Linked DNA regions of Nothobranchius furzeri. The protein of the gene in region 1 purifies or fractionates together with the protein of each later gene. This does not show direct contact. Links are inferred from orthologs where the notes say so. Each region holds a gene or a part of one and is shown in the gene's direction. Other genes may lie near its edges. The genes, in order: trim33, smad3a, ssrp1a and skila.

Region 1 (7,512 bases):
AACTCATGGAACGGTAGAAAGAAAGTGTGTTTGGAAAATAAGTTGCAGCACCCAAGTTTGACCACAGGATGCCCTTCTTACTTCATTTTTACATAATCCAACTTTAGCATAGAAGATGAGCTTCTATGCTGATATTTTTCTTTTCATTCTAAAGCATTTGTGTGGTTTAACCAGTGCCTCCAGTAGTAATATTTCCTGTTCTGAAACGGCAAAGACCCTTGGTGATTCTATAGACTCCAGTTTTAAAAATGGTTTGTGTCATTAATCAGTTTCAGCAGTTGCAACAATAATTTGCCCATGTTTTGTGCTTCATTTTCTTTCCAGCTGTAGCTCTGCAGGCAGAGGGGGAGCTGGAAGTGGAGCCTCTGCAGAGCAGGTTAAAGTGAAGAAGGAACCTGGTACAGAGGACAGCTACAGCTGTCCCTCGTCTTCTCTGAAGACTGAACGGGGAGCGGATGCTAGAAGGAGTGCCTGTATGGTATGAAAACAAAACGTTCATCTTTGGGAATAAAAGAATGAACAAAATTCAGGTTTAAGCATTGATATCTGTAATGTAAAATGTAGGGATGCTCCGATTTGATCACAAGATCAGAAATAAGGCCCGATCACGTAATTTTAAAAGGATCAAGAGGAAAACATTGGTGTTAACCTTGTAAAACAACAAACATGCAGTTTTTCCCCTACATAGGCTCAGGCATTGTGCTGCGCCTGAAATTCTAGCGCCACGGCTACATCATCAACCCCAACCCTTACCCCACTCTCACGGCATAACATGTTTCATAGGGATTGTTTGTTTCCCCCTCAGATGAGCAGTCCAGAGAACAGCCCCCTGGGAGCTGCATCTGCAGGCCACGACACTCTGAGGGTTCCTGGGGAACGCATTAAGACAGAACCTGAGCCAGACACGCCTTGTTCTGGACTAAATGGAGCCAGTACCATGACACCATCCACCTCTACAACCTCCACCAACACGTCAGCCACCAAGAACAGTTACAGTCAGTCAGAACTACCGCTCACAAATGGAAACGTAGACAAGAGCAGCAGCAGAGCATCAGAAGCAGCCGGGGGTTCTGGTGGGAAAGAAGACGATCCCAACGAGGACTGGTGTGCTGTCTGTATCAACGGTGGTAACCTGCTGTGCTGTGACCGCTGTCCTAAAGTGTTCCATATGAAATGCCACGTACCCACCATAAAAATCTTTCCAAAGTAAGTGACCAATAAAAACCACTTCATTTTTTTAGAATGAGAAATCATTTGAGGATCGCTAAAATATAAACCATTCTGAAGCTTTGTGTGGTGCTTGCTTGTCTCAGGGGCGACTTCCTCTGCACGTTTTGCCGAAGTATAGCCAACCCAGAAATCGAGTATTGTGATGAAAGCAGGAGACTCAAAGAGGATCAGAGCCTGACTGCTGAAGACCAAAGGGTCTGCACACCTAAACCTTCCTCAGAGAACGTCTTTGTGATGAGTTTACTGAGCTAATTCTCTCTTCCTCTGCCTACAGAAATGTGAACGGGTCCTGCTGTATGTTTTCTGTCATGAGCTGAGTGTGGGCTTTAGGGAACCGGTCCCTAGTTCTGTGAGTGCTCACACACGCACCATTCAGTCTGGTACACTACATCATGGCTCCTAAATTAAGCATTTTACTTCACTTGTATAATCCCAGAAATATGAATCTTTTTTTCTAATTGGTCCACATTATACATGATGACACATAAGGAGCATTAACTTGGTTTGAGTCCAAAAAGAGATAAGAAACTTATAAGATAAGCATCGTCTCATGCAGGAGATGGAACAGCACAGTCTAAATGACGATCATAGAAGGCAAGGCAAGGCGGCTTCATTTATAGAGCACATTTCAAACACAGAGGCAATTAAATGTGCTTTATAATTAGCAGGACCGTCCGTCCGTTCGTTCATTCATTCATTAGTTTGTCTGGAGCTTATCTGGAGTCAGGTTGCGGGGGCAGTAGCCTAAGACGAGAGGCCCAGACTTCCCTCTCCCCAGCCACTTGGGCCAGCTCCTCCGGGGGAATCCCAAGGTGTTCCCTGGCCAGGTGAGAGACATAGTCCCTCCACCATGTCCTGGATCTACCTTTAGGTCTCCTCCCGGTTGGACGTGCCCGGAAAACCTCACCAGGGAGGCGTCTAGGAGGCATCCTGACCAGATGCCTGAGCCACCTCAACTGGCTCCTCTCGATGTGGAGGAGCAGCGGCTCTACTCCGAGCCCCTCCCGAATGACAGAGTTTGTCACCCTATCTCTAAGGGAGAGCCCAGCCACTCTTCGGAGAAAACTCATTTTGGCCGCTTGTATCCGCGATCTCGTTCTTTCGGTCAACCACGACAGACCGGTACAACGCCCGCATCACTGCAGATGCAGCACCAATCCGCCTATCGATCTCACGCTCCAGTTTTCCCTCACTTGTGAACAAAACCCCGAGATACTTAAACTCCTCCACTTGGGGCAGGAGCTCATCCCTGACCCGGAGAAGGCATTCTACCCTTTTCCAAATCAAGACCATGGTCTCAGATTTAGAGGAGCTGATTCTCATCCCAGCTGCTTCACACTCGGCTGCGAACTGCTCCAGCGAAAGCTGAAGATCACGTTCTGATGAAGCCAAGAGGACCACATCATCTGCAAAAAGCAGAGACCTGATCCTCAGGCCACCAAAACGGATGCCCTCCACACCTTGGCTGCACCTAGAAATCTTGTCCATAAAGGTTATGAACAGAATCGGTGACAAAGGGCAGCCTTGGCGGAGTCCAACTCTCACTGGGAACGAGCCCGACTTACTGCTGGCAATACTGACCAAGCTCTGACACCGGTCATACAGGGACCTAACAGCCCGTATCAAAGGGCCTGGTACCCCATACTCCCGGAGTACCCCCCACAGGGCCCCCCAAGGGACGCGGTCAAACGCCTTCTCCAAATCCACAGAACACATGTAGACTGGTTGGCCAAATTCCCACGCACCCTCCAGGATCCCCCTCAGGGTATAGAGCTGGTCCAGTGTTCCACGGCCAGGACGAAAACCACATTGCTCCTCCTGAATCTGAGGTTCAACAATCTACAGACCCTCCTCTCCAGAACCCCTGAATTGACCTTACCAGGAAGGCTCAGGAGTGTGATCCCCCTGTAGTTGGAACACACCCTGTGGTCCCCCTTTTTAAACAAGGGGACCACCACCCCGGTCTGCCAGTCCAGTGGGACTGCCCCCGATGTCCGCGCGATATTGCAGAGCCACGTCGGTCAACACAGCCCCACAACATCCAGAGCCTTAAGCAACTCCGGGCGGATCTCATCCACCCCTGGAGCCTTGCCACAGAGGAGCTTTTTAACCACCTCAGTGACCTCAGCACCAGAGATTTGAGAGGCCAACCCAAAGTCCCCAGACTCTGCTTCCTCACTGGAAGACGTGTCGGTGGGATTGAGGAGGTCTTCGAAGTATTCTGCCCACCGATCCACGACGTCCTGAGTAGAGGTCAGCAGTACACCGTCCCCACTGCAGAAAGTGTTGGTAGCGCACTGCCCCCCCCCCCCCCCCCCCCCCCCCCCCGAGGTGCCGGATGGTGGACCAGAATGTCCTCAAAGCCGTACGGAACATGATATGAAAACATAAAAACACAAATTAAAATAGACACAGATAGAATTACAGTTTAGAGCTAAAGGAGAAGACAAAGTTACAGCGCAGATTACAGTGGAGATGACGCAGCATAAGAAACAATTCATTTAAAGGCTGATGGGTACATTAGGGTATTTAGTTTTAATTGAAACAACACTAGAGTTGGGGCAGATCTGAGGTCAAGGGGAAGCTGATTCCATATGATAGCAGCATAGTAACTAAATGCATCTCCGCCTTGTTTTGTTCTGATCCGTGGTTCTATCAGCTGATTGTTTCCAAGGGATCTCAGAGCCCTATTGGGTGTACCGTATATACAGTAATGAGAGCGAATATAATAAATAATCAGATAAATGAAACAGTCTCCTGATTTTTTCACTGTGCTTCTCTTCTATGGCGCCACTCTAAATGCTAACAGATTAATCTCAGTCAGTGTTTTAATGCTTTCAAGGACAAGTTTAACTGGCTGTTCACAGATCTACCAACTACTAGGCTTTAATTCCAGTTATCATCATCAATATTGTTATTAGCTCAATAATGCATTTATTAAATATCATTTTTCTGATTTATTACCATTTTATTTAAAATTGATTGGAAGAAAAACATTTCTAGTTACATTTCATTAAACATAATAAAACCTTATTATTTACGTTTTTGTTATTTCCATCTGAAATATTTATTGGTGTAACTTGACCCAGCTGTTTTTTCTTTTTCAATCCAGGTGCCCAACTACTACAAGATTATTAAGCAGCCCATGGATCTGAAAAGGGTGAAGAGGAAGCTGCAGCTGCGGAGCTCTCAGTATTACAAGTCCATACAAGAGTTTGTGCAAGATATGCGCCTCGTCTTCAAGAACTGTTCAACTTACAATGAGGTGAGCAGCATGTGTTTTCAGCCCGTTAGGGGAATGGTGTCCTCTTGCTGTGCATGCTGACCAAAGAGAAACTGATAGAAATGAGACAATGGATTCTGCTCTGAAGGGTGTTAGCTCTGCTGTTTTATTATCATAACAGAAGGAGTTCAATTAAACATCCTGGCTTTGAAACACATTCCTTAAAGCTGTTTCTGGTTGTTTGCTGTTGCATTTATTTTCTTACTAAGTAGCACTAACTTACTAGACTAAAGTAAGTAAGTAAAATCCTCACTCACTCAATCATGATGAGAAAATTATTAAATTATTGTACAATTTAAATTTATTTTTAAAGCAATTCTTGCACATATTTAAAAAAACAAATTATTTTTGTCAGTAAAAGAAAATAGAAAAGGTGCCTTAAAACTGAGGGTATAAAATTAAAGCAGTATTCTTGGAATTTAAATATAAAAGGAGGGAAGCAGGACTTGCTTCATTGGGTAAAGGTCTGAAAGGTGATGCAGAAGTCAGGCGATGCCTCAGGTACATAACCAATAGAGGTAACAGTCATTATCTCCACCTGTAAATAGCACAAGCGAATATTGAGAATTTTTAAAGACCAAGTTCACTGAGAAATGGGTAATACTTGTTCTCTTTGAAATGCGGCCAGTCACTCACATTTACTATGAAGGCTGAACGTGAACATAGGCGGCTTCTATCTCCTGCATTAGCTGCTGAAAGGAAATGGATGGGGAAACACTCGGACTAGAAAATCCTGACAAATCTATGTCACACTGTCAAATTAACATTCATGGACTCATCCATCTTGATATGCAACAGGGAATGCTGTTGTTAGTTTACCATCCAGGAAATGGCAGAGAACATCTCAGCTATTAGAGGCTAACTGTTAGCATAAGCAACTCCACCACCCAGCAGAGCTCCTCCAGGCATGTGTTATTTGTGGATGTAAAACATCCATGTTGCAGAGCAAACAGAATCTGGTAACGTGGTGTAGCTTTTAGCCAATCAGAGATGGGATTTCTGAATATCAATAGGGAGCCTAAGTCACTTCCGCATCATGGGTCCCCCGGAAGAACGAAAAAAATGAATGCACGTCAATGGGACTAAAAGCGCTATTTTCTAATTTTGCTTGTTTTGTGCCATGGATTTCACAATGTGCTTATTTTTGAACGGACACACACACACGATATTTTAGGTTTTGTGTGAAAATAAGTCCAGAACTAAAAATACGTTTCACGAAAGTGACGTCATCGAACTAGACACAGAGAAAACTCAGGGGAAATGGCTGTAAGTTCAGCAAACTTCCCACAGGAGGGAAGAACCACCCTAAATCTGGTCATTTGGTAAGTAGCAGCTACTTTGGGGAGAGGAGATTATGTGGTGACGTCACATATGCGCCGTGCCGATTTTTAGTTTGTAGTCATGCTAATTACAAACTTTTACAAGCTAATAAATGTCAAAGTACGTGACTGGCGTGGTCGAAACTCCCATCAATAGTTTTCATTTAAATTGCAGTACAACATATGTGCAATCCAGGGCGCAAGGCAAAGCGGATTAGAAAATAGCGTTTTTAGCCCTGTTGACTTGCATTCATTTTTTCGTTCTTCTGGGGGACCCATGGTGCGGAAGTGACTTAGGCTCCCTATAGGATGCCCAAGTCTCCTCCCTTTCTGGTCGGCACATGAAGGAATGGAAAAATCAATACAAGTCTTCGTCTTCGTCTTCCTCCGCTTATCCGGGTCCGGGTCGCGGGGGCAGCATACCAATTAGGGAGCTCCAGGCCGTCCTCTCCCCGGCCTTGTCCACCAGCTCCTCCGGCAGGACCCCAAGGCGTTCCCGGACCAGATTGGAGATGTAACCTCTCCAACGTGTCCTGGGTCGACCCGGGGGCCTTCTGCCTGCAGGACATGCCCGAAACACCTCCCCGGGGAGGCGTCCAGGAGGCATCCTGACCAGATGCCCAAACCACCTCAACTGGCTCCTTTCGATCCGGAGGAGCAGCGGTTCTACTCCGAGTCCCTCCCGAATGTCCGAGCTCCTCACCCTATCTCTAAGAATGAGCCCGGCCACCCTACGGAGGAAACTCATTTCAGCCGCTTGTATCCGCGATCTCGTTCTTTCGGTCATTACCCAAAGCTCATGACCATAGGTGAGGATTGGGACGTAGATCGACCGGTAAATCGAGAGCCTGGCTTTCTGGCTCAGCTCCCTCTTCCCCACGACAGATCGGCTCAGCGTCCGCATCACTGCAGACGCCGAACCAATCCGCCTGTCGATCTCCCGATCCCTCCTACCCTCACTCGTGAACAAGACCCCGAGATACTTAAACTCCTCCACTTGAGGTAGGACCTCTCCCCCGGCCCGGAGGTGGCAAGCCACCCTTTTCCGGTCGAGAACCATGGTCTCAGATTTGGAGGTGCTGATCCTCATCCCAGCCGCTTCACATTCGGCCGCGAACCTACCCAGCAAGAGCTGAAGGTCAGAGCTGGATGAAGCTAGGAGGACCACATCATCCGCAAAAAGCAGAGACGAGATTCTCCTGCCACCAAACTCGACACACTCCACACCACGGCTGCGTCTAGAAATTCTGTCCATAAAAGTGATGAACAGAACCGGTGACAAAGGGCAGCCCTGGCGGAGTCCAACCCTCACTGGGAACAGGTCCGACTTACTACCGGCTATGCGGACCAAACTCACGCTCCTCTGGTAAAGGGACTGAATGGCCCTTAACAGAAAGCCACCCACCCCATACTCCTGGAGCGTCCCCCACAGGGTGCCCCTGGGGACACGGTCATAAGCCTTCTCCAAATCCACAAAGCACATGTGGATTGGTTGGGCAAACTCCCATGCCCCCTCCATCACCCTTGCAAGGGTATAGAGCTGGTCCACAGTTCCACGGCCAGGACGAAAACCACATTGCTCCTCCTCTATCTGTGATTCAACTATCGATCGGACCCTCCTCTCCAGTACCTTGGCGTAGACCTTTCCAGGGAGGCTGAGGAGTGTGATCCCCTTATAGT
Region 2 (8,103 bases), on another chromosome or scaffold:
TATATTTTATTCTTTTCAACTTTTTAAAATTCACTTGACATTGACTTTAAGTTATTTTTCCCTTTCTTTTTTCAGAAGTTAGTCAAATATTAAATTAATTTATTCATTTAGTTTTGTTTTTTTTAATATTGTGTTTTTTCTTGTTGTTCATAGTTATGAGAGTGAACTAATCTGTAATGGCAAGGATTGTTTTTTCTCTTAAATCCCACAAAATACAAATTCGGGTCCTGAGAGGATAATTTTTATTTGGCTTTTAAAAAAGTTAAATTTTTTTTTTCAATGTACATTTCATTCAATTTATTAATTGCTAAAAAATGTTTAATCGTTTCACGGAGTGGAGTTCTGTAAGAGGTATCTCTAAAAATACTTTAACATCAGTTTGAAGATAATTAGGGTAAAAAATTGCAATGGATTATGTGTGATTGGTTCAAAACAAGCATGTTTTGTTTTTGCTGTAAAGCGGTCGTCTGTTTCCTTATCACATCTATCCAGCATGCTGGAGTTTTTATTTCTCTGTGACCTTTATTCTCTATTGGGACAAACACACATGCACACACTCCCACCCACCCACACACACACACACACACACACACAGGACTAAGTCCCCTGAGGTTCAAACTGGCACAATATCATTATCATCCATTGGATTGTGCGTGGTCACTGCTCATTCAGCCTTCCTGACGTGCCTTTTATGCTCAGTAATTCTTCTCACAGCCGCCCCCATCCTCCAGTTCCCTTAAACTCTGCCCCTCTCCCCCTCTTCTGCAGCCCATTTGTGACCCTTCCCCCCACCCTGCACCCCTATATCGCCTTGTCTGGATCTACACTCCTCCAAAACAACCCAGCTGGCCGGTCGTGTCCCTGGGGGTGTAAACAGGTGTCGAGAGGGCCGCTGGGCCTTTGTATATGACACATGGCAGCACGCTCCTCCAGGCTTCTGTTGCAACCTGCCAACACAGCACAGACAGAGAGAGTGGTGTGTATTCAGCTGGAGACTAGATTTATACTGCAGATGAGGGGCTGCTGGGGATTTGTGGTGCAAAATGTCCTACTTTTAAATCTTGTGTGAAATTATTATTTAACTTAGCTTTTTGGTTTTTTTTGGGGGGGGGGGGGGGCACTGAACTTTAATTCTTTAACACGACAAAGCAAAAATAACGTTAAAACAATGAGTTTATTTTTCCTAACTCAGCACATGTAGAGTGAACTTCTTTTGGCTGATATAAAAATAAACACTGGTCAACCAGAATAGATGAAAGGAAAGGCATTTGTCCTGCTGGACCTTAAGTATTTTTAGCACAAACTAAGCTCTGTGTGCTGTGGAGAGGGGCTGCTGGACACAAGTCAGTGCTCCTGTACACGCATACCAAAACCACAAGTCAATGCTACTATTTTAATAAGGCTATGATCTGAAAGCAGAGGCAATTGATCCGCATGCCTGATGATCACAAGTCCCATTTGTGCTCTTGGTACAGACATTATTCCTCTTTTCTGAGTGATAAAAACCCACAGAGGACCACCTTCTTCGTTGAAATGCATTTATGGCTACCCACTATCACTGTCTGAGCTCAGCTCTACTCCACACTCAGTCGTACATCTGGCACTTGACTCTTTGACATTCAGTGCATGAAGGAGGGGGTGTTTATGCATATGAGAGTGTGTGCATGTGCTTGACTATAGCTGTAATTTAAAGGCTGAACCAAGCAATAAACTAAATTGCCACCTTGAGGAGTAGCAGCACTCATCTGAAGGCCTAACAAGCCGAGGCAAGAAAGTGTGCAAACTCATGCATGCGTGCAGCTACTTCTATTACCTTCTGTCTTACAGCAGCTCCAGTGTTATTCAGTCGTGTGAAGGTAGAACAACCCAGAGAGCATTACTGGAAAGTTCTGTGTTAGAGATCTCAAGCCCCAGGTGTTTACACAACAAACACACACTGGACATATTTTACACTACACCTTAACCTTTAGACACTTGAGCATATGACGATTTCTAAAAACATAACATATGAGCAAAAAATGAATGTATTCTCCTGGTAAATCAGAAAAAAATGTTAGTGTTGAGTGGGAAGAAACAAAAATGTGATATTACAGTTTGAACTGTGTTACATAAAGTTAACTGAGATAAAGTCATTTAAATAAACATCAAAGCTTCTTTGTTCCTCTGAAGAAAAAAACATACATTTTTAAGTGCACTAGTGTGGACAAAAAATAAATAAACTGGTTGGTGTTACATAACTGAATCAAGTGCTGCGTATGACCGCTTTTATAGACCGCAGCAGTTTGCTAGCATGAGGAGAGGCAGTGATTGTGCAACATCAGCACGGCCCCTTTGGCCAGCTGCTGTGACAGAGCTGCTACAGGTCTGCAGCAGTCTGAAGCCTGAATAGAGTCTGAGCAGCAACTCCTGCATTTGCATCTGATGCAGACTTCAAGCAGATTTCAGCCGGCGGACTACACACCGCGGAGGGTTCTGAACTTCACAAAACTTTGCGCTTCGAGGATTAGAACAGTCAATAAAACACACCACTAGCGTTACTCCTTTATTTTTTAACGTTTTATTCATAGTTTTAAATCGTATTTTAATTCAGGTTGGAGTTATTTAAATAACATTTGCTTGAGTAGGTGCAGACGGACTAGTTGGTCTTGCGGAGCAGCACTAAATCCACAGCACCAAAGAATACCGGTGCACAATCCGCCGTTTACCTCCTCGAGCCAGGGTAAACGAGTTCGCTAAAACTGAGAAGTTTGGCCCTGGGATGCTCCTGTGTAGCTCTAGATAAAAAACAATAACTTTTTAGCGAAGACTTGCTCTCTTCGTCACTGCGTAGACCGCCACAAAGGTAGTCGTTTTCGTATAACGTCCAGAAGAAAAAAAACCCAGCAGACTTCTCGAGACAGGACGGACTTGACTGAACTCAAGATGTCAATTTTGCCTTTCACTCCCCCCATCGTCAAAAGACTTTTGGGCTGGAAGAAGGGAGAGCAGAACGGCCAGGAGGAGAAGTGGTGCGAAAAGGCGGTGAAAAGTCTAGTGAAGAAGCTGAAGAAGACGGGACAGCTGGATGAACTGGAGAAAGCCATCACCACGCAGAATATCAACACAAAATGCATCACCATACCGAGGTAAGGAGAGCTAGCAGGTTGGTTTGATGCTGACCGTAAAGTTAGCATCTCACGCGCTGTTTTATCCGTTTATTACAGCTTTATAACAAATTATACCAATCTGCCACTGCTTTTACTGTCTATTGCACGTTAAAGGCACCACTTCTTGTGTGAGAAGCAAATATTTCCAGATATTTTCTCGCGTTAATATTTCAAACTCAGTTATTTAGCGTTTATTAAACATCAAAGTTTTAGCTAAGGAAACAGTTCACCAGCTAATCTGTAAATTACGGCTCAAATGTATTATTGTCTGTTATCTATGTGTCATCATATTGCTATTTTGCACTTCAAGTGAATTGAAACAACTCCTAGCAGCTTGGTATGACCCAGATTATGTTGTCAAAAACACGTTTTAAGCATAACGAGCCAATAGCACACATGCAATGTGCACTGGTAGTTATATAACTTGGCCTTAATCTGGAACGTTTTCTAGCGTTGTTAGTGCGTAGGCGAGTCTAGATGGGCTCTCTATCTTCTCTCAATGCCTCTATACAGACATATATCAGCATTTTTATTTAATACAAGTAAATCCACTGCAGGTTACTATGTGTAACAGGTGCTTTCATAGCGTGGGCAGAATTGGAGGCAATGCAACAGCAAACACGAGAAAATATGTAAAAAAAAAACGCAAATAAAGGTGTTTATCATTTGACAAAATATATTAGAGACAAAAATGCTCTCATGGGATGAAAAGTTAACATTTAACACTCTAAATTAATTAATTCAAACGATCTCCTTGGAACAGTAAATAATTCAGCTGTGTTTGGTTTTCAGTGGTCAGATGAATAAATTATGAATAGTGGTTTGGCTTATTGATTTCATTTTTTTTCTCTGCAAGGAGGAGGGAAACATAGCTGTCAGCTGGATTAATAAATGCCATTTTTAGCTCTGACAATTCTAAAGGCTGTATTATTTAACCATCAGTGTGTGCACTTTGGGATGAAACAGTGCTTCACGATTACTGATGGCAACTTTTTCATTAGGTAACAAGTTGGTATTCACTGAACCAAGCAGGAGTAATGTGCAAACGGCCAAGAAGCAAACCGCTAATGAAAAATGCTTAAAAATTTTAAAAGATTTTACCATCTTAAGGTGGCAACGTGTAGTTTCCTGGTGCCAGGGGGCAGTACATACATTTCAGGGTAGTTTTACACCATATTGCTGTGACTGTCGCTAGTTAAAAAAAAAAAACATTACCGTAAATGTTGTTACCTGTGGAACAGAAAGCATGCAACCTTGGCGTGTCTCCTCAAACTTTGATTGTTCTTCAGGTATTTCCATAGAGAGAATGCAATGCAGATGCTAATTTTCTGGTGCTGTACTTTCCAGAGCTGCTCAGGGGTCCTGCGCTTGCCAATGATGTAGTGGTGGGCAGTATAAACTATATAAGGTAGAAACGATATAAAATTGGGTAATGATAGAGTTTTTGGCTCTATCATGGTAACACATGGTGTCAATAAATGTGCACTCTCCCTGACATTGGGACAACAGAATGGCAGTGACTGCAAGTATGGAGAGGGCAGAGGAGGAGGAGCATTCTACTTTTTGGACGTCTTTATTCTGCTGCAATATATTTGCCAAATGTGGATTTTTAAAAGCATGTCATTTTGACATATATTAACAGAGGAAAAAATACATCGCAATAAATATTGTTATTGCACATGCTTCAGATTATATCAGAATATATATTTTAGGCCATATTGCCCAGCCCTACGTCATCATACTACGAAAATACCGTTCAGCCAAATATATATTGCATCTCTTTTTCAATTCTGTTCTCTCACATAGGTTTTGGAAAAAGTTTAGCAGTTTTGTTATTAAATTATTGTTTCTCACTGCCAAGATATTTTTGAATGTGGTAACGTAACTTCTGTAGGTTGTACGCTTAGCCAATCATCTAGTGTGATATCATCGACAGGCACAAGCTTGCGAGCCCTCCAGAAGGAAACTTGGCATCTAATATGGCGTCCTCCAAAGATTTTTGACCTGCACACAATGCAGTTTACACTCAATTTTTATGGTTATATGGTACAATGCTGCCAATATTTTTCAACAACTGGACATCATTTAATTTATTTTCAACATTGTTTTGATGGATATTTACAGAGATTAATGGTATAAACTACACATTGCCTCTTTAAAGTAACTGATAATTGTATTTATTGTTGTTTGTAGCATCCTTTCTTTATATTTGTTAATCTGAGGGAGTTATTAATCTAGTTTTGACTTTTGTTCCAAGCAGTCACTTGATTTATTGCCAGCAAATTGGACACATTATACATTAGTCAAAATGATTATGAACTGTATCTGTAAATCAAAGTATTCTAAACATCAGAATCACTTTTAACTCCTCTGCACGTGTGATCTTGTAACTAATTTATTCTGGCCCCGCATCATCACAAGTTCAGCTTTTTTTTTTTTTTTTTTGTGCTGGCGCTGCTGTAATAAGTGAATTTCCCTACTGTGGGATCCACAAAGTCTATTCTATTCTATTTATTCACAGTGATTCTTCACAACTATTTCATATTGTTAGACCTTCAGTCTATTTTCTTGTGTTTTTTAATTATTGGTAAATAAGAAGCCCAAATCTTTTCTTATGACTTGCATGTGTGTGTCATTCAGATTTAATAGCATACTGTGTCAGATGAAATCTGAATCCCTAACAGGGCACTCCCACATTCTTATTGGCCACAAGTGTACATATAAAGCTACCACAAACCTGTGCCAGCATTCAGAGCTGAGCTCATCCAAAACGTTAAATAATGTCCGCTCTGGTCAAGGTTTAATATTTCCTACCACTAATGCGAGAGTGCATTAAAATGACCCCAGATCAGATCTGGCTGTCAGTGTGGTCCAGCAGTGTCCCTGGAGAGATGCTGTTTCTATTAATTCCCCAAGCTCTGGCTTGCTGACAGCAGCTGCCTGCATGTCCTGGCCTGTCTATGGGGAGGTCATCTCCAATATCTCTGAAGTGAACTTCTTATGAGGCTCAGTGCTGCTGCTTTTGATGCTGGTTTGCAGTGATGCTGAGTGCGGAAGGAAGCTGAGGCCTGGGTATTGATTGGGTCAATAGCTGCGTCAGGTTGTGGGATGGCAGAGCGTATCATGTATCGATATAGAGTACCACAATTAGAAAAGGAGGAAAAAAGACAACTTAAAGGGACGATAACTAGGAGATTTTAGAAAATCTCATAAAGGTTTCTCAAAAGTATAACCTTAGGATAATTTGAATACTTAGATCTAGCTTTGGTATCATTAATTTAAGAAGTACATTTTGTGTGTGTGTGTTGTGACTACTGATGATGCTGGTTTGTTTGTGTTTGGACTGATTTACTCAGAGCCCCCATCCAAAAAACTAAATAAATAGACATTTGTCACAGTCCTACATTGCAGTTTGAAGCTGAAACAAAATGTGTCTGTTGTTGACTAACTCTTGGAAAGGGCGGTTTCTGTACTTGCCTTTCAGGTCATTATGGTTTTGACAATGAGCATGTTTGCTTTTTATAGAACATAATAAGAAGAATTGAAAGCTGAGGCTGTATCCCAGTTTCAAGACTTAGTCACTCAACAACAAGCAATTTTGGCGTTGTGGTGTTGACCTAACTGTCCTCAGTTTCTTTCCCTTATGAAATCATTTCCTCTTCCTCTGAGCTGCAAACTTTGGTTGGTAACAAACACTGATTTGTGTAAAGTGTTACTCTACAGGGATCTAGGAGTATCTGATGGTTTTGGGCTGGACATGATGTGTGGTAGCTTGTAGTACTTGAGTGAAAGAAGATGACTAACAGATGCCTTTTCCTTCTACTGTTGTAAAAACCTAAACCTTTATTTATTAGCAGATGCAAATGTGAACCAAAGTGGAAAATATGAATAGAATTGCTAGAAGGGAAGTGCAGATCTGTTTGACCAATCAACAAACCCACATAATTGGACACAGAAGGCTGATGTTTGGTTCTGTTTGTTTCTTTTATCAATGGCCATGATTGTTTCCTCTGTTTAACCAAAATGAGGAGGCCAGTATAACCTCAGGGTAGTATCTTTTAAACCAAACTTCAACGCATTTTTTATATTTGTCTAATGAGTGATTGTAACCAAAACTCCACGACCTTTCCATAACCCCATCCTTTCTCATGCCTTAATATGCTTTTGCTTTCCTAATAAGTGGCTGATTAAGTGGATATTAGTAACTGACTTAGACTCAAACAAGGATTTATTTACAATCAACATATGCAGTTTTATTATTAAAATAAAGTTAGGATTAAAGGGGACTCTAAAGAAGTTTGAAGTTTTTATGCTCGCGATCGCCACTCAGGCCTAACGCGTAACTGCTGCTTCAAAAGTAAGCTCGTGCATGAGGTACACATGCTGTACGTGCACACTCCTTAACGAAAATAACAGCTGAGACAGTCCTTGTGTGTGTGTGTGTGTGTGTGTGTGTGTGTGTGTGTGTGTGTGTGTGTGTGTGTGTGTGTGTGTGTGTGTGTGTGTGTGTGTGTGTGTGTTTGGCCCGGAAGACAGAAGAGCACAGCAAATTAATAAAAATAACGTGCCTCTGTCTCTGCAGCTGCACTTTCTCGTCAGCCGGCCGAACGTGCAGTGTGTGTGTGTGTGTGTGTGTGTGTGTGTGTGTGGCCCAGAGGACAGAGGACAGGAGAACACGCAGCTAATTAATTAAATAATGTGGTTCTGTGCCTTTCTCTTCAGCACAGCCGACAAAGGTTTATGATGGGTCAGTCCTCCTGCATGCTCAGATCATTCCCGTCCCTTGCTTGAAAAATAGTTCCAAAATGAAAGTTGAACCCACATCTTTTTTATCCATGAATTCAATGCCTTTCGGTGAGTCTCAAATAAAAATCTGGGCATCTTATTACTGTAAAAAATATATCATTAATGTAAAAAAGAAACTCCAAATAACAAATTATGTTCACACCTGGAATCG
Region 3 (7,512 bases), on another chromosome or scaffold:
TAAAACAAATTGGCTCCCAAAACAGACCAAGAGAAATTTGTATTATTGCATTTTTTTTAAATTTCCTCTGAGCGCAGAGGAAAAATCAACACACTAGTGAGATACAGGGATGGAGGTGTGTGTTTAACCTGAGGAGTGTGTCTCTGGGGGTTAATCAGCTTATTTATGAGGGGAGATGGATCCTCTCGTCCCAAAGCCCAGGCTGTGAAGTCATTGTTTATTATCCTCCAGTTAGCGACGGTAATGGAGAACTGGCAGAAGGCTGACATTTTGATTCATCTGGTCTAATAAATTGTCCTTGAGGAAGATGTGAATCCCTGCCTGAGTATTTGAGAGCATCCGGAGGTGTTTACTTGTTCAAGGCTCAGCCTTAGACCAGCGAGAGGATTTCAGATTCTCTGTTCTGTTTGTGGGAAAATGCTCTTCTAACATTGTTAGAGATCAAACTTCCTAATTTAGCCAGAACTCTGGAACATGTGAGGATCCTGCCTCCAGGCTCCCACCTTCCTACACTGATTGTGCATCTGTGAGATCCACCAGAACCAGCCAGATGTTGGATCAGCCGGGGCTCTGTAGCTTTGTGCCAAACAGGAAAGGTCCTGAGTCGCTTCAGAGCAACAGTGATGGTTTTTAAAACGTAGCCAGATCATAGATATTTACACGGTGAGTCTGAAGTATCTCAGTGGGGTTGGGTTCCCTTACCACAGCTGGAGTTTTACCCTCATCACTGCTTTGGCTTCAGATATCCTTCATGTTCTCCCAGTTTGACAGCTGTGTTGATGAATAATCAGACTAAGGAAATTCAGAACCAGTAAAAGCTGTTGGACATTTCAAAGAGCAAAACACTTGTAAAATCAGGCTATTTGTTTTTGTTTTTAAAGAAAAACAACATTTATTTTTTTTTAGATTTGAGTCAAAAGTTTCATTTTTCAACACCCAAAAATATCCAAAACTTAGAAATAATCTCCAGTATATAGACTACGTTTCCTAATGATTTCACTATTAATGGTAACTTAGCTGAAGCAGCAAAATAGTTAAAGAAAACTTTTAATTCCTGATAAATGTAGGACAAATCACTGTGTGTGTGTGTGTGTGTGTGTGTGTGTGTGTGTGTGTGTGTGTGTGTGTGTGTGTGTGTGTGTGTGTGTGTGTGTGTGTGTGTGTGTGTGTGTGTGTGTGTGTGTGTGTGTGTGTGTGTGTGTGTTAGTATAAAACATGCTCCACAAAACAAACTGATGGTATGTTTTTACATCCGTTCACACACATTATCCTGTCTAAACAACTCCATAGTCCAGGTCAACAAACAAGCTGATTAAACAAACTCTCACCCTCTCACACACTCTCTCTCTCTCTCTCTCTCATATATTCATATATTGGCTTCAATAACCTTATGAAATGGCAGAAATCCAGGTGCGTACATGAGTTTCCAGTCTCATTCTGCCCTTGCATTTGCACGCCACAATCAGTTCCATATGTGTTTGTACTATTGCGAATGTAGGGGTGTGTGTGGTTGTCGTTGGTTGTGAGTCCTCTCCAGTTGTAAGCTGCGGCGGACCTGCAGGATAAATAAACGATCTGATTGTCAGGGCCTGTGTGGAGGGGCTGGATGGATTACATTCAACTCCTGTACTCCCTAGCAGCTGACCTACGACTGTGTTCTGATTAATTTTCCACCGCCACAGCTTCTTTTTAGGCTTTGACTCATGCAGCGTTTGTACTTTTACTCTTTTTTTTTCTGCCTCTCTATCTCTGAGCCCTACCTTCTCCTGACTACTTGTTTATAAATCCAACCTAAAAGTTCTGTCCTCTTTTTGCTCCTCCACCTTCATCCACCAGGACTTTGAAAAGATCTCAGAATTTTTCAAAGCTAACTACAAGGTGGAGCTGACGGAGAAGGACATGTGTGTGAAAGGCTGGAACTGGGGGACGGCGAAGTTCTCAGGTAAAACAAGATCCAGCACAGAAATCCTTAAATAATCTACTCACGTCCTAAAAACAAGGAGAGATTTCTGAGAACCCGGTGACTCACACAGTTTTGTTCTTCTGCTCTTCACAGGACCTCTGCTTTCATTTGACATCAATGACAATGCAGCGTTTGAGATTCCTCTGTCCAACGTGTCCCAGTGTGCCACGGGAAAGAACGAAGTCACGTTGGAGTTTCACCAGAACGACGACACGGAAGTTTCCCTCATGGAGGTCCGCTTCTACGTCCCGCCCAGCCAAGCCGACGAACGACAGGACCCTGTGGATGTGAGAAAGGGACATTTCTACTCATGACATTTTTTGTTTTGCCTTTTTTTTTAACGTTGTGGCATTTTTTGTTTTCCTTCAGGCGTTTGCTCAGAATGTGTTGTCCAAGGCTGACGTGATCCAGGCCACTGGTGATGCTGTGTGCATCTTCAAGGAGCTGCAGTGTCTCACACCCAGAGGAAGGTATGAGGTTGTTCCAGGACTACAATACCATCTAATCTCATGATTCAGATCATTAGAAGTCCTGGTGGTTTAAAGGATTTGTCTACTCTTCAGCGTGCTTCTCACTGGGCTGTGGCCTATTAGAGACAAAAGCTGAATTTGTATTTGGACTTCTTTCAGATACGACATTCGCATCTACCCGACGTTCCTTCACCTTCACGGGAAAACGTTTGACTACAAGATTCCCTACACCACCGTCCTCCGGCTCTTCCTGCTACCACACAAAGATCAGAGGCAGATGTTCTTTGTGGTCAGTCTACATCTTTGTGTTTTTTGCTTTTAGGTCAGCTGACGTTCCTCGCTCAGCATCTCTTTGTTTTTTTTGTGACATCACAGATCAGTCTGGATCCTCCCATCAAGCAGGGTCAGACTCGCTACCACTTTCTCATTCTGCTCTTCTCCAAAGAGGAGGACATCAACCTCACCCTCAACATGAGCGAGTGAGTGAGTGTGTGTGTGTGGGGGTGGGGGGGGGGGGGGGGGGTGATAACGGTATTGTCCACTGAGGGGAGCCAGAGGTCTGAAGGAATAGTTTTCCTGCTTTTCTTCACTTCTCACTAATCCTGACAACGTGTTCTGGTGAAGACATTCATTCTGTTGCTGTTTTGTAACAGGGAGGATGTGGAGCGCCGTTTTGAGGGCAAACTCAGTAAAAACATGTCGGGGTCTCTCTATGAGATGGTCAGCAGGGTGATGAAGGCCTTGGTCAACAGGAAAATTACTGTACCTGGAAACTTCCAAGGGTAGGCATCTCAAACACACATTTTTACACTTTTTAAAAATGATTATATCTTCACAAAATCCCATCTGCGCAGTCACTCTGGGGCTCAGTGCATTACCTGCTCCTACAAGGCCTCCTCCGGCCTCCTTTACCCCCTGGAGCGGGGATTCATCTACGTCCACAAGCCCCCCGTCCACCTGCGCTTCGAGGAGATCTCTTGCGTGAACTTTGCCCGAGGGACCACCACAACGCGCTCCTTTGACTTTGAGATTGAGACCAAACAAGGGAACCAGTACACCTTCAGCAGCATCGAGAGGTGAGGCAGTCTTAAAAAGGAAGCAGATCCTTTATGAGGAACATGTTTCTGGTGTGGAACCCTATCTCCATACCAACCAAACCACCCTAATGTGCTTTTCTTCTTCTTTAGAGAAGAGTACGGCAAGCTGTTTGACTTTGTCAATGCCAAGAAGCTCAACATCAAGAACAGAGGGTTCAAAGAGGTAACGCTCATCCTGATTGGCACGTTGGTAGATTTAACCCTCCCACTGTCTTCATGGGTGACCCCGCCAGGAAAGCTGACCATTGAGCAGGATTGATGGTTTATCCCTTGAGGTCCATGTGGCAGGGATGAGGTGGTGCTCACTCCTCACCCCTGTCACATGGACCCAAGGGATGAACCATCAACCCTGCTCATTGGTCAACTTTCCTGGCGGGGTCACACCCATTAGGACAGTGGGAGGGTTAAAACATGACAGCAGTTTTATCAGACATCATCCCACATTCTCATCCTTTGTGCCTTCTCTTGTGTTCTTGTACTCTTTGTAGAAGAAGGTGGGTATGGTCTCGAGCGTCCCGTATGGATTAGGCTCTGGGTTCTTGTGGGCTTGGAGTGATTCTGTTTGCATGGTCTGATCAATCTGTGGAGAATCATTTGGGTTTGATGATTTACTGATCAGTTTGGTGTTGAACCTGATCTTTCTGAAGGGATTCATGTGTAATTATGGCACCTGAGGGTTGACTGCTGTGTAACTGATGACTGACTGTGTGTGTTTGCATTTTGCTGACTAACGTGCTGCCTGGGGGCTTTTGTTCTTTAACTCCAGACTGTGTTGTGGTCCTAACTTCTTCTCCTGTGCTAATCACTCCGCCTGTAACGTCCTGCTGATGTGTGCGAGGTTGTGGTGAGTCTGAAGACTCGCAGAAGTCTTCTGTTGCCATGGTGATGGGGTCAGCAGAGGAGTCCATTGAGGACAAATGGAGCTGCTGCCCATTTCCTGTTGGTGTCTGTACTGGCGGTCCACCTATCAGTCGCTTCTGTCTACTTGGCAGACGAGGATATTGATGCATGAAGATGGAAGTGAGCACGTAGGAGGAGGAAAAGGGTTTTAATGTGATTTCCAGGAGGACGTTTCAACAAATGACGTCGAATCCTTTATGAGCTTTTCATTCTGTGGGGAGGATGGTGTCGTGTTGAAGTGTTAAAAAACCAGTGCAGTTTCTGACAGTTCCTGTTTGGGACCAGTTGGGTCAAAGGCTGATTAAGTCTCGAAGCAGTGGGCGAAGGAGGAGTTGAATAAAGGAAATGTGTTTAGAAACAAGTAGTACGTGGTAAAACTGTTGAGTAGAGATGCTCCAGCAGGTTTTTGCTGTTGATCACCAACACCGATCACATGGATTGACCATAACTTTTCTATGTAGTTATGACAGACTACATGATCTGGGAAAGATTGAGCAAAAATGTGTTCTTTTTTCAAGAGAAAAAACTAAAAAGCAGCTTAATCCGTGTGTTTGTTTCTGAGCCTCCTAAGCACAGCCCAAGGTTTAGAACTGATGGAGCCTCTAGCATGAGGCAAAACTTCAAGAAAACCAGAAAACTCTTGATCACATCCAGGATGACTGAGTCTACACCAACGTGCTGCAAGAAGCAGCAACGATTCAGTCAAAAGGAAAACAGATTTCAAATATTAAAAGCTCTGAGTAAAAAGTGCCGAAAAGCAAAAGATAAATCTCACATCTTTGTGTGTTGTGAGATTTTATTTGATTTATTATTATTATTATTATTATTATGTGTATTTATTTATTTAATACCTGTAGCGGGTCCTAGTGGGCTGGACCTGGTGTCATCCACCACAGAGACAGGCTGCTCATCTATGATGGCTTTATTTTTCAAGTTCGATGCTCAGCCTGCCGACTGTCGCACTCGTACAGACGAGTGATAGTGTGTGCCGCTGCGTCTGACTCCGTTAGCTGCTCCAGGTTTTTATTCTATTTCTGCAGTGAGCCTTGAAAATTCACATCCCTGCAAGAGTTTATTCTTTAAGAGTCATATTAAGTCCATTGTGTTGATGCATTTTAGAGAGCTTCCCTCATGCAATACTTTTTCATTGCAAAATGCAACGTTTACATCACCCTCCGTTTGGCAGACGCGTGTTTGCACTTCAGCTGCTGCACACATGCACAGTGCGACAGAAGGGGGTAGGGAATCGCGATGCTGCACACAGGGTCTCCGCAGGCTGCAACACAGCATGGGACATAAAGGCATTGATGGGAATTTGCACACGTTTTTTGTTTGTTTTTTATGAAAATTGGCCAGTTTTGGTCAGAACATCCCCAGTGTTAACTTACTATTGCCTGGTTCAAACAGGGAAAAGGGAAATTCACTAACTCAAATTTAACTTGAGTGTAGGTCTTCCTTTTGGTAACGGTGATGCTTAGTTTCATTGTCCTGGACCATAAAACATTTGAGGGTTTGTAGTCAAAGTGATTTTAGACATGAAACAGGTCAAAGCTAACTTGCTTGTAGTGTTTTAGTAACGGTGCAATCTGGAGCTGAAACGTCACACCTCCTGTTTTGGTTACTGGTTGTGTTTCCTTTGACTGTGGTTGATGCTGGATCCAAGACGGATAGGGAGGACGGTGTCCCACGAGCAAAACTCAGGCTTTGTGAAGCCGCGACACCTTCAAACATCTAACCACAGTCTGGGCTAGCGTGTTAGCTCTGACGTTGTGTGTTTGTGGTGTTTTCCTGACCGTGCTGCGTACTTTCCAGGGCATGAAGGGTAAAATCGACGAGTACAGCGACTCAGACGAAGACCAGCACGATGCCTATCTGGAGAGGATGAAGGCTGAGGGCAAGATCAGAGAGGAGGGCAATGACAGCGACGAGTCGGATGGAAGTGGAAGCGGTTAGTGACTGTTTCAAATGTAACCGCTCGCGATGAGAGGATGGTAATGGTTGAACGAGGGTTTTCTTCTCTCTTTAGATGAGTCCTTCAACCCTGGAGAAGAAGATGATGAAATTGCAGAAGAGTAAGTTTGGTTTAACTTCATTTTTAAAGCTTGAGATGATACCTGTAGTTGTTGTAAACGTCTGTTCCTCCTTTCTTCCAGGTACGATAGTAACGCCTCTGCAAGTGACAGCAGCGAAGAGGGGGGGGACAGTGAAGATGAGGGTGCAAAGAAGAAAAAGGCTAAAAAAGCCAAAGTTGTGAAGGAGAAAAAGGAGAGAAAACCACGTAAAGAGGTGAGAGACCAGCAGGAGGAGAACATTAGGCTTCAAAAGCCTGATTTCACGATCTAACATAAACCGGCTGTGCCGTACATTAACCCATCGAACTCGACATGACTGCTGACTCTTATATCCTAAATTCAAACAGAAGAAGCAGAAGGACACCGGTGGGCCGAAGAGGCCGATGAGCGCCTACATGCTTTGGCTCAACTCCAGCCGAGAGCGAATCAAGGCGGAGAACCCCGGCATCTCCATCACCGAGATATCGAAGAAAGCCGGAGAGATGTGGAGGCAGCTGGGCAAAGACGAGAAGGAGGTGAGAACATCACAGAGGTGCTTTTACATTTCTGCTGCGTTTTATTAAACTCACACGGATGTGCCCTCCAGGAGTGGGAAACAAAGGCAGGAGAGGCAAAAAAGCAGTACGACAAAGCTAAGAAGGAGTTCAAGGAGAGCGGCGGAGGATCCACCTCCACCTCCAAGAAGTAAGGCTCTCATCACAGGAGCAGTTTTTATGTTTCTTCATCAGAGTTGTTACACATCTGCTTTCTTTCCTCCACACGTCTGATCATTAGAGAAAGTAAAAAATCTGGAGGCAAAAAGGATGAGAAGAAGAGGAAGTCTGCGGGCGCAGACAAAGAGAGGGAGCGAAGCGGAGGCAACGACAGCTTTAAGAGCCGAGAGTTCATCGAGACCAGCGAGGACAGTTCCTCTGACTCAGACCGCAAGAGCAAAAGCAAGAGGAAAAAGGTAGGAGCCGGCGGTAGAACATCAGTCTGTAGTCAGGACAGTCATTCTGCTGAGTGATGAC
Region 4 (7,950 bases), on another chromosome or scaffold:
AGTCTTTAGTTTGAGTAAAGATCCATTTGACATTGTTTTTTTACACTGGAATTTAAAGTAAAATACATATTTAATCCTTTTTTGTGGAATGGTTATATTATGACAGAATATGTCATATAATCATAAAATATTTCTTGGGAAGGGGTGGGGTGGGGATCATTAACAATGAGCAGTTTCCTGCTCCTTCATCCTGCTAGTTGAAAGTGGAATAACAACCATCATAAACAACCCTGATGCCACCAGCACAAAAAACAAGCTAACGCTAACATGAGCCCACAAATACTAAAATAAACCACAATGTAAAACATCTGCACTGAACATGATTACTTACAAGTCCAGTAGCAACAAAGCCAGGTCACCATCAGTCCCTGATTTTGTAGCCTCCTTTAGCTCCTTCAAACTAGCTTCGGCCGCGCCAATGTCTACTCCGGGTGTAGCTCTTTGCTTCACCTCCAAAGACATTACTCTCTTATTTTTACTTCCATGCTCCACCATGATACCAACAGAAAAAGCTAACTTATTATTTTTCTTCAACTGCTTCCAGGTGCAGCAGTAGCCTAGGGGGTAGAGCATGATGTCCAGTGATTGAAAGATTGCAGGTTTGATCCTAGCTCCCACCAGAGAATGCTGCTTTTGTTTCCTTTGGCAAGACACCTAACTCGTCTTGCCTGCTGGTGGTGGTCAGAGGGACCTATAGTGCCAGCATATGGCAGGCCTTGCCTCTGTCAGTGTGCCCCAGGGCAGCTGTGGCTACATTGTAGTTCCTCGTCACCTGTCACCTTAAAATGGGCGGGTGACTGATTGTGTTGCCATTTTACCTTCGTAGCTTTCTTGTCAGATTCAACAAAAATAACCAGAGTAGGAGTTGAGATGTCATCACACTCTCCGACATTTACCATAAAGCACCTTTTCAGGAGTGTCGATTCCTAAATTACGTTATTCCTTTTTGCTTTATGTTTCTTTATGAGAGCTGAAAGGTGAATGCTCAATAAAAGGAGTTTTTTTGTTTTGTTTTGTAAGAGCCAGACATTGAAAACATGACACATGGGTGCAAGATAAAACCAGAAACATCCTGCTGACACACATCACAGAGCAGAAAATCTTTGTAGTGTGTGCCTGAAGCCTCAGACTGCCACTTCTGTAAGCATCATTACCTCCAAATTACACATACATCCACTGAACAACTTAAGACACATTTCAATAACTCCCATTGATTGTAGACGAGATGTATGAAAACGACTAGAGAGGTGTCGGCCTCAAGGGTCCACTTAGTACTAAGTCCAATAACAGTTAGACAGACTCTGGGGCTAATGGAGAGGCTTATCAATGCACCAGTCTGCCACACTTTGTCCACAAGTCCCAGCTCTCCCACCTCTGTGCTCATCATCCTTCCACTTTTTGCGTTAAACCTCTGATGAACAATCAGTGCAGGTCACATTATTGCACATATGAGATTAATTTACTCCCCGCAGAACACAGAGTGATGTTATTACAGGAAAATCAATGTCCCTCTTGTTCTCTGGGGGGTGAACAGGGTGTATGCACATCTGCTCTCATAATACAACTGCTGACCTTGCTGTCAGTGAAGCCAGTGAGAGAGGCTGCGGCGAAACGGCCAACTGTGTTGTTTATCAAAGCTTTATCAAGCCTCTCTGCTCTCACCAACGTGTAACATCAGACTGTAGGTCAGCCAGCCGGCCAGGGTGCACTCCAGCTGAGAAAACAGCGGCGCATGTCGACAAAGGACGATAACCTCCCAAGATTGAGAAGATTTGGAATTAGTGTGATTTCTGTGAGCAGACTCAGAAAGTACTTGTGTTAAAGCTACTTACCCCATCACCAAAGGGGAAATGTCTGATCTATAATTAAAATAATCTGTTTTCTGTCATTCTTACTTGGATTTTATTAACTTATTTCATCTCCAAGAGCACAATAGACCTCCTGAATGACCTCTTGACCGTTTGCAGAGGACAGGTCTGTATGGTTGGGGGAAGGGAGCGCGCGGGGGGGGGCTTTTGGTCATTGAGTCTGTCCTCTTCTATTCTCTTGCTTTTCTGTGAACTCAGTGGGGAAGCCAACAAGATAAATAAAACAGCTGGCAGTTTGGGTGATGCTGCAGATATCCACCGCTCAAGGAAAATAATAATAATCAAGCAACAGAAAACTTAAGTGGTAACCATGTTACAATAAATATAATTAAATACTTTTAATATATAACTTTTTACTATTAAATGTATTGCTATGTTATATGTAAAGTATTAACATGAGTAAATAACTTTTTGAAAATAGTGCAAATAAAAAGAGGTGAAGGTCTGAAACCCAAATGATCTGTTACCATTTAATTATGCACATCAACATTATTATTGTTGTTGATTTAGGTTATTCCTTTTTTGCTTTCTGTTTCTTTATGAGTGCTGAAAGGTGAATGCTCAATAAAATGAGTTTTTTTGTTTGTTTTGTAAGAGCCAGACATTGAAAACGACACATGGGTGCAAGATATATATATTGTATAATTATTGTTATCTTAATGAAAGACAATTAAGTGATTATATATTAAATTATTATGTTGCACTTGCTACCTCACTAAATAACAGTAGTAGAGGAAGTAGGCCTACTTGATTTTTTTACTTACGTAAAAGTACAGACAAAGTAGTAAAAATTACATAGGTAAAAGTAGAATTGTCCAAGAAAATATTGACTTCAGTAAAAGTATTTTGAAAATGTACTTAAAAGTAAACAATGAAGGTATTCAACTAACATTTGAATATGAGTTGTGTGTTTGGAAGTGTGCTGCCTGTCGGACAAAATGTAATGGAGTCAAAGTAAAAAGTAGACCTCGAGAAAATTACAGTCATGGAAAAATTGTAATTAAGTACAATAATGAAATACTTGTACATAATGAAGTACTTTTACTTCGTAACTTTCCATCAAATAACAAGAACTGCCTAATGGTATTTATGTTTTAAAATCTTAAAGTACATAAGTCATAAATAATCTTAAAATGGGTTTTAAAAGTCAATTATATTAAGTGTATGTTACAAATTGTAACATTTTAATTTGTTTACATGATGATGAACAATTGTGTTAAAGAATTGCAGTGAGGACCAAATTTGAACCATTTCACGACCTGGAAAAAGTCCCCGCGCCACAATGTTGAGTCCCCTCTGACCCAGTTGCCCTGTTTCCCCGGCTCTGCTCTCGGCTCTACCTGCTGCTGGAGAAAAAAACCGTCCCAGACTGTGCGAGACAGGCAGACAGACAGACCTACAGACGAGAGACACCCCCGCATAGTTTCCGTCAGCCGGGTGACGTCTCCGCCTCTCAGCCCGTGTGCAGTGTGACGTTGCGGGCTGTAGTGTGGAGCTTCTAGCTGCATCTTGTTGACGCTCCGCCAGGCTTTTCCAGTGCTGAGAGGACTCCGAACGAGTGAGGACGACTGACACACTGTTCAGGCAAGTGTTAGCTGTTGGGTGGGATGGAAGGATTTTTTTTATTAACCGGGTAAATAAGAGTTCTTTTAGCGGATCTGATTTTGACATAAACGGTTGAAATCCTGTGTTTAGTCGCTTCCGACGGAGGGGGCGAAGCTAATCAGCTTTAGCCTGCCGTATCGCTCTCTATCATGGGTTAGCCTGCTGTAATATTAGCGCTTTCGGTCCGCAGGGTTAAACTGCTTATCGGTCGCTATGTTGGGTTAGCCTGCCCTAATAAATATAAGGGCTAATATTCATCGGTTTGGACGGGAACCGAGTCGGGTCAGTCCGCTTTAGTGGGAACTGGGTTAATTTAGCCTGTCTGTGCTCTGAGGAGGTTTACAGCAGTTTACACCGAGGAGACTGGGGGTGCGCTACCCATCGGGGTTTCACTGATTTACACTCACGTTGCACAGATTCTTACACCTTCTTTTTCTGAAGATCACAGATAAGAAAAAAGAGAAAGAAAAGCAGACTGCCCTGGTAATTTAGTTAAACATTTTCACGCTCAGACAGAATGCGGAGTGTTAAATGGTGCTTTTCCAACCGCTGGGGGGGGGGGGGGGGGGGGTATGGACACATCGCGGTCGGAAACCCCGCCGTGCCCTCACTAAATTGGCATGTGCGTAACGGACAAGCGCGGTGCCTTCCCAGACCAGACTGTAGTGTAGACAGTGAATGTCATTATCAGCGCTGTCTGCATACCTGCGCCGAGCCAGCAGAGGAGGAGGGGGAGCAGGAGCAGCGTAATACGCGGTGTCCTTGCAGCAAAAACGGTTCCAGACATGGGGGGTGACATTAAAGACGGACTTTACTCACGGTTTATTCTGTTAAGGAAAAGTCGCGCGCCTCGTTTTCTGTCTGGTACCAGCGGGATCCCAGCCGAAGGTGGCTCCCCCGAAGATCCTCACTTATTGGTCGGTGATTTGCCGTGTAGATTCGAGTCTACCCACGGTGGGGGTTTGCCATTAAAACGCCCTCACGCATCAACCTGCAAATTCAAGATTTTCTCCGCAGCTGCGTTTTTACCTGATTTCTGGGGGAAAAATAAACGGGATACTATTTTTTATGTCTTAAAAACACACACCTGCATCTTTTATGTTCATTTGCAAGACCGAAAAATTGCATTTAGAGCATTTCACCGTATGGAAATCCAAATTTCTCCAAGTTGAAATGGGTTAAAGCTGCCGTGTCTCGTGTCTTAGTGCAGCAGTGGCCACGGTCAACACTGCGTTTTAAATGATGATCAGGTTGCTGATGTATATATCAAATAAAGGGGTGAACGCTGCTTTTTCCGTAGTGCTGCTGCATGTCAAGCTGTGAGAGGACCAAAGAGGGGAGGCGGGGAGGGTTGACCGCTGGTAACGCTTTTATCATGTTCTTCATGGGGTTGATGGGTGAACAGACGAATGGGGGATGGCATGGTGTGGCTCTGGGAAGGACACTTTACATTTGCAAAGTGAAATGTTTCCCCCCCCCCCCCCCTGACCATTGTGTATTTGCCTTTCATTAACAATGTAATGAGAACCGGGTGGGTGGTGAATTTCAAATCCCAGCCAACCGGTTTGTTAAAATTCTCACTTTGTGCTTGAAACCTTAATTTGAATTTCCTCTTGGGTTCAATTGCAAGAGCTAAGAAAAGCCTCGTGTTTGTGTGAAGTATGGTAATTGCCATTTGGTTTATTTGGACCATAATAACAGCCTCTGAAGTCCCAAACAGGGAAGGCATAAAACCTAAAACACTGGTCATAACACCTTTCGATGACACTGGAATTTAAAGTTTTTGTCTCTTCTGCTTTCTAAATTGCTTCATTTTTCATGTTCAGGCAGCAGATCAGAACCTAGACAACCTAACCATCATGAAGACTTGCGTCATTTAAAAAAAGACTCCAGGGGGTGAGAAGCCAGAGGAAAACGAGAAACAGTCAGAAGAACAGGAGACAAGCGACTGTAACCCTGTGCTTGGACATGGCCAGCACCCAGACCAGTTTGAAAACTCCTTTCAAAGACTTGACCTCCTTCAAGGGCAACATGAAGCGTCTGTACAGAGAGCGAATGGAAGACGCACCCATCAAGAAGCGACTGATGGCCGAAATGAATTTGAAGCGGCGTGGTTTGGATCCCCTCACCAAAACTCCTAAAGTGAAGAGGGAGCAGATGGAGGATCTGCACCATGATGTTGACATGGATGTGGAGGGCCGGGCTGAAATGCATGTCATGGGCTCAGGTAAAGCTCTGGACCTGAGTCCTGGCCTCAAACACACACTGGCCCAGTTTACTCTCAGCAGCCAGAGCTCCCTCGGGGGCCCAGCTGCCTTCTCAGCCCGAACTGGCCATGAGCATTCTGCTGGTATGCCCCCCCTGCCCTCCCCTCCTGTGTTAGGAGGGGGCCCTCTACTGGTTCCATGTGACAGCTCAACTGAACTCACCCACTCGCTACTGGAAGGAGAGTCCATCTCCTGCTTTGTCGTTGGTGGGGAGAAAAGGCTGTGCCTGCCTCAGGTGCTCAACTCTGTGCTCCGTGACTTTTCGCTGCAGCAGATCAACACGGTGTGCGACGAGCTGTACGTTTACTGCTCTCGCTGCGACGCAGAGCAGCTGCACATCCTAAAGGTTCTGGGCATTCTACCGTTCAACGCGCCGTCCTGCGGCCTCATTACGCTGACTGATGCGCAGCGGCTGTGCAATGCTCTCCTGCGTCCCGGGGCAGCTTTGCCCGCCGATCCCAGCGGCAAGCTGTCGGTCCAGGGCCTGCTGAAGGAGAGCGAGGCCAGCTTCCAGGTGGAGCACCAGTGTCTGGGGAAGTGCCAAGGTCTCTTCGTGCCCCACTTCTACTCTCAGCCTGAGGCACCATGCATCCAGTGTGTCGAGTGCCAGCTGCTCTTTTCACCTCAGAAGTTTGTCATGCATTCACACAAGTCACCCGATAAGAGGACCTGCCACTGGGGCTTTGATTCAGCCAAGTGGCCATGCTATCTGCAACTTGCCAGGAAGTACCAGGGGACGCCCGAGGAACCCAAACTCAAGCAGCTCCTGGACGAGGTCAAAGAGAAGTTCCATTATCAACTGAAGAGGTCGCTAGACAAAGTAAGTTCACCTTTTAACGGTAACATTTGGTGTCAGCTGTTTGTGTTTCTGCATGTTTTCTATGCACAAAAATCTCAGTAGGCCTTTTTTAAGCCGTTTTCATTCTTTTTGATGGGTGGGAGACTACCTTATGGTTGGCATTTACATAAATCATTTATGACCTAGGGCAGGGCTATTCAATTCCAGGCCTCGAGGGCTGGTATCCAGCATGTTTTAGTGGTTTTTCTAGTCCAGCACACTAGGTTCAGTGGTTGAATCACCTGTGCAGCAGCTCACCAGGCTCTGCAGACGCCTGTTAATCACCTGCTGATTGAAATCAGGCGTGTTGAAGCAGCAATAAAACCAAAACATGCTGGATACCGGCCCTTGAGGCCCGGAATTGAATAGCCCTGACCTTGGGTGTGTCTGAAGCCGTGGACAAGTGGTGACATCTGCATCATCAGATCAGACACAGTTATAGATCAGCTGTCACGGCTGAGGAGGAAGTGCATCATTTGTTCCCTTAGGTCACCTGGAGGTCAGCGGGAATGACGCTCAGCTAAAGGCTAAAGTAGGAGGTTCTGAGAGACTCTAAAAGCAGTTACCTATTTAGTCATTTGTGTAGCGCTTAAAAAACAGAGTAAATTTTTGTGGAATTTGTCATTTTTCACACGTCGTTTTTGTTAATCAACCTGGAACAAAAAGGGTTCGTTGGAGGAAGAGCATTTCTAGATGTGGCAAAAGCCATTTTTCAGGAGTCCATCGTTCACCTGCGGGCAAACCTGAAATTGAAATTGCTTCATTGCAATAAAACCACTCATAACTGGAGCTTGAAATGCTACGGTCCCCCACAGTGGATGCTTTAGCTTTTTTTCTTCCTGCAGTGAGAAGAAAAATATTTCAATGTGAAAATGATGAAAACCTCAAGGCCAGAAAGTCAATAAAACAGTCAATGTTCGATTGGGGGGGTGGGGATGCTGTTCAGGATTTTAATTTTTTTCTGCCACTGAGTGTTTTATGATTCCTGACCTTCATTTGAGCTTCGTGCACCCCTGTCTTTATTGTTTTGATTATATTTTTGTCACTCCTGCATCCAGAATTTTTTTTTTTTTACGACCGTTTAAACGAAAACCACAACCCTTGCTTTCATGGTTTGTTTACCTCTATCCACACCAAACTAGCTGTTTGTGTGTAAGACTGTGGAGCAGAAAGGCCACACGGTGTATTTATAGGGACTGCAGGTGTCCAAAACACACACACACACACAAACACACAAATGTTTATGTGAAACAGACAAATAATTAGTATCTTCCATCTCTGGTTAACTCGGTGTGTGAATGTGGCGGAAATGCCGTCTCCTGTCTCGTCTCGCGTCCCGACCGCATTCCCGTCCCGCCTCTTCCCCAGCGTC

The links.
Region 2: the proteins of trim33 (region 1) and smad3a purify together in Homo sapiens (affinity purification with western blotting; 7 studies listed by BioGRID and IntAct, with this or other methods). This does not show direct contact. The link is inferred for Nothobranchius furzeri from reciprocal best matches to the Homo sapiens genes TRIM33 and SMAD3.
Region 3: the proteins of trim33 (region 1) and ssrp1a purify together in Homo sapiens (affinity purification with mass spectrometry; 3 studies listed by BioGRID and IntAct, with this or other methods). This does not show direct contact. The link is inferred for Nothobranchius furzeri from reciprocal best matches to the Homo sapiens genes TRIM33 and SSRP1.
Region 4: the proteins of trim33 (region 1) and skila purify together in Homo sapiens (affinity purification with western blotting; 4 studies listed by BioGRID and IntAct, with this or other methods). This does not show direct contact. The link is inferred for Nothobranchius furzeri from reciprocal best matches to the Homo sapiens genes TRIM33 and SKIL.

The regions. Positions count from the first base shown.
Region 1 is NC_091755.1:51,914,032-51,921,543, reverse strand, and holds part of trim33 (E3 ubiquitin-protein ligase TRIM33), read left to right. Parts: intron 1-324; coding exon 325-478; intron 479-805; coding exon 806-1,206; intron 1,207-1,313; coding exon 1,314-1,425; intron 1,426-1,504; coding exon 1,505-1,579; intron 1,580-4,342; coding exon 4,343-4,495; intron 4,496-7,512. UniProt on the Homo sapiens protein: Acts as an E3 ubiquitin-protein ligase. Promotes SMAD4 ubiquitination, nuclear exclusion and degradation via the ubiquitin proteasome pathway. According to PubMed:16751102, does not promote a decrease in the level of endogenous SMAD4.
Region 2 is NC_091749.1:43,500,783-43,508,885, forward strand, and holds the start of smad3a (mothers against decapentaplegic homolog 3a), read left to right. Parts: upstream 1-2,696; 5' UTR 2,697-2,922; coding exon 2,923-3,125; intron 3,126-8,103. UniProt on the Homo sapiens protein: Receptor-regulated SMAD (R-SMAD) that is an intracellular signal transducer and transcriptional modulator activated by TGF-beta (transforming growth factor) and activin type 1 receptor kinases.
Region 3 is NC_091741.1:91,660,289-91,667,800, forward strand, and holds part of ssrp1a (FACT complex subunit SSRP1a), read left to right. Parts: intron 1-1,836; coding exon 1,837-1,942; intron 1,943-2,056; coding exon 2,057-2,250; intron 2,251-2,332; coding exon 2,333-2,433; intron 2,434-2,592; coding exon 2,593-2,722; intron 2,723-2,808; coding exon 2,809-2,912; intron 2,913-3,086; coding exon 3,087-3,215; intron 3,216-3,287; coding exon 3,288-3,509; intron 3,510-3,620; coding exon 3,621-3,693; intron 3,694-6,242; coding exon 6,243-6,378; intron 6,379-6,456; coding exon 6,457-6,502; intron 6,503-6,583; coding exon 6,584-6,716; intron 6,717-6,849; coding exon 6,850-7,017; intron 7,018-7,088; coding exon 7,089-7,186; intron 7,187-7,276; coding exon 7,277-7,451; intron 7,452-7,512. UniProt on the Homo sapiens protein: Component of the FACT complex, a general chromatin factor that acts to reorganize nucleosomes. The FACT complex is involved in multiple processes that require DNA as a template such as mRNA elongation, DNA replication and DNA repair.
Region 4 is NC_091751.1:45,626,219-45,634,168, forward strand, and holds the start of skila (ski-like protein), read left to right. Parts: upstream 1-3,319; 5' UTR 3,320-3,456; intron 3,457-5,303; 5' UTR 5,304-5,441; coding exon 5,442-6,560; intron 6,561-7,950. UniProt on the Homo sapiens protein: May have regulatory role in cell division or differentiation in response to extracellular signals.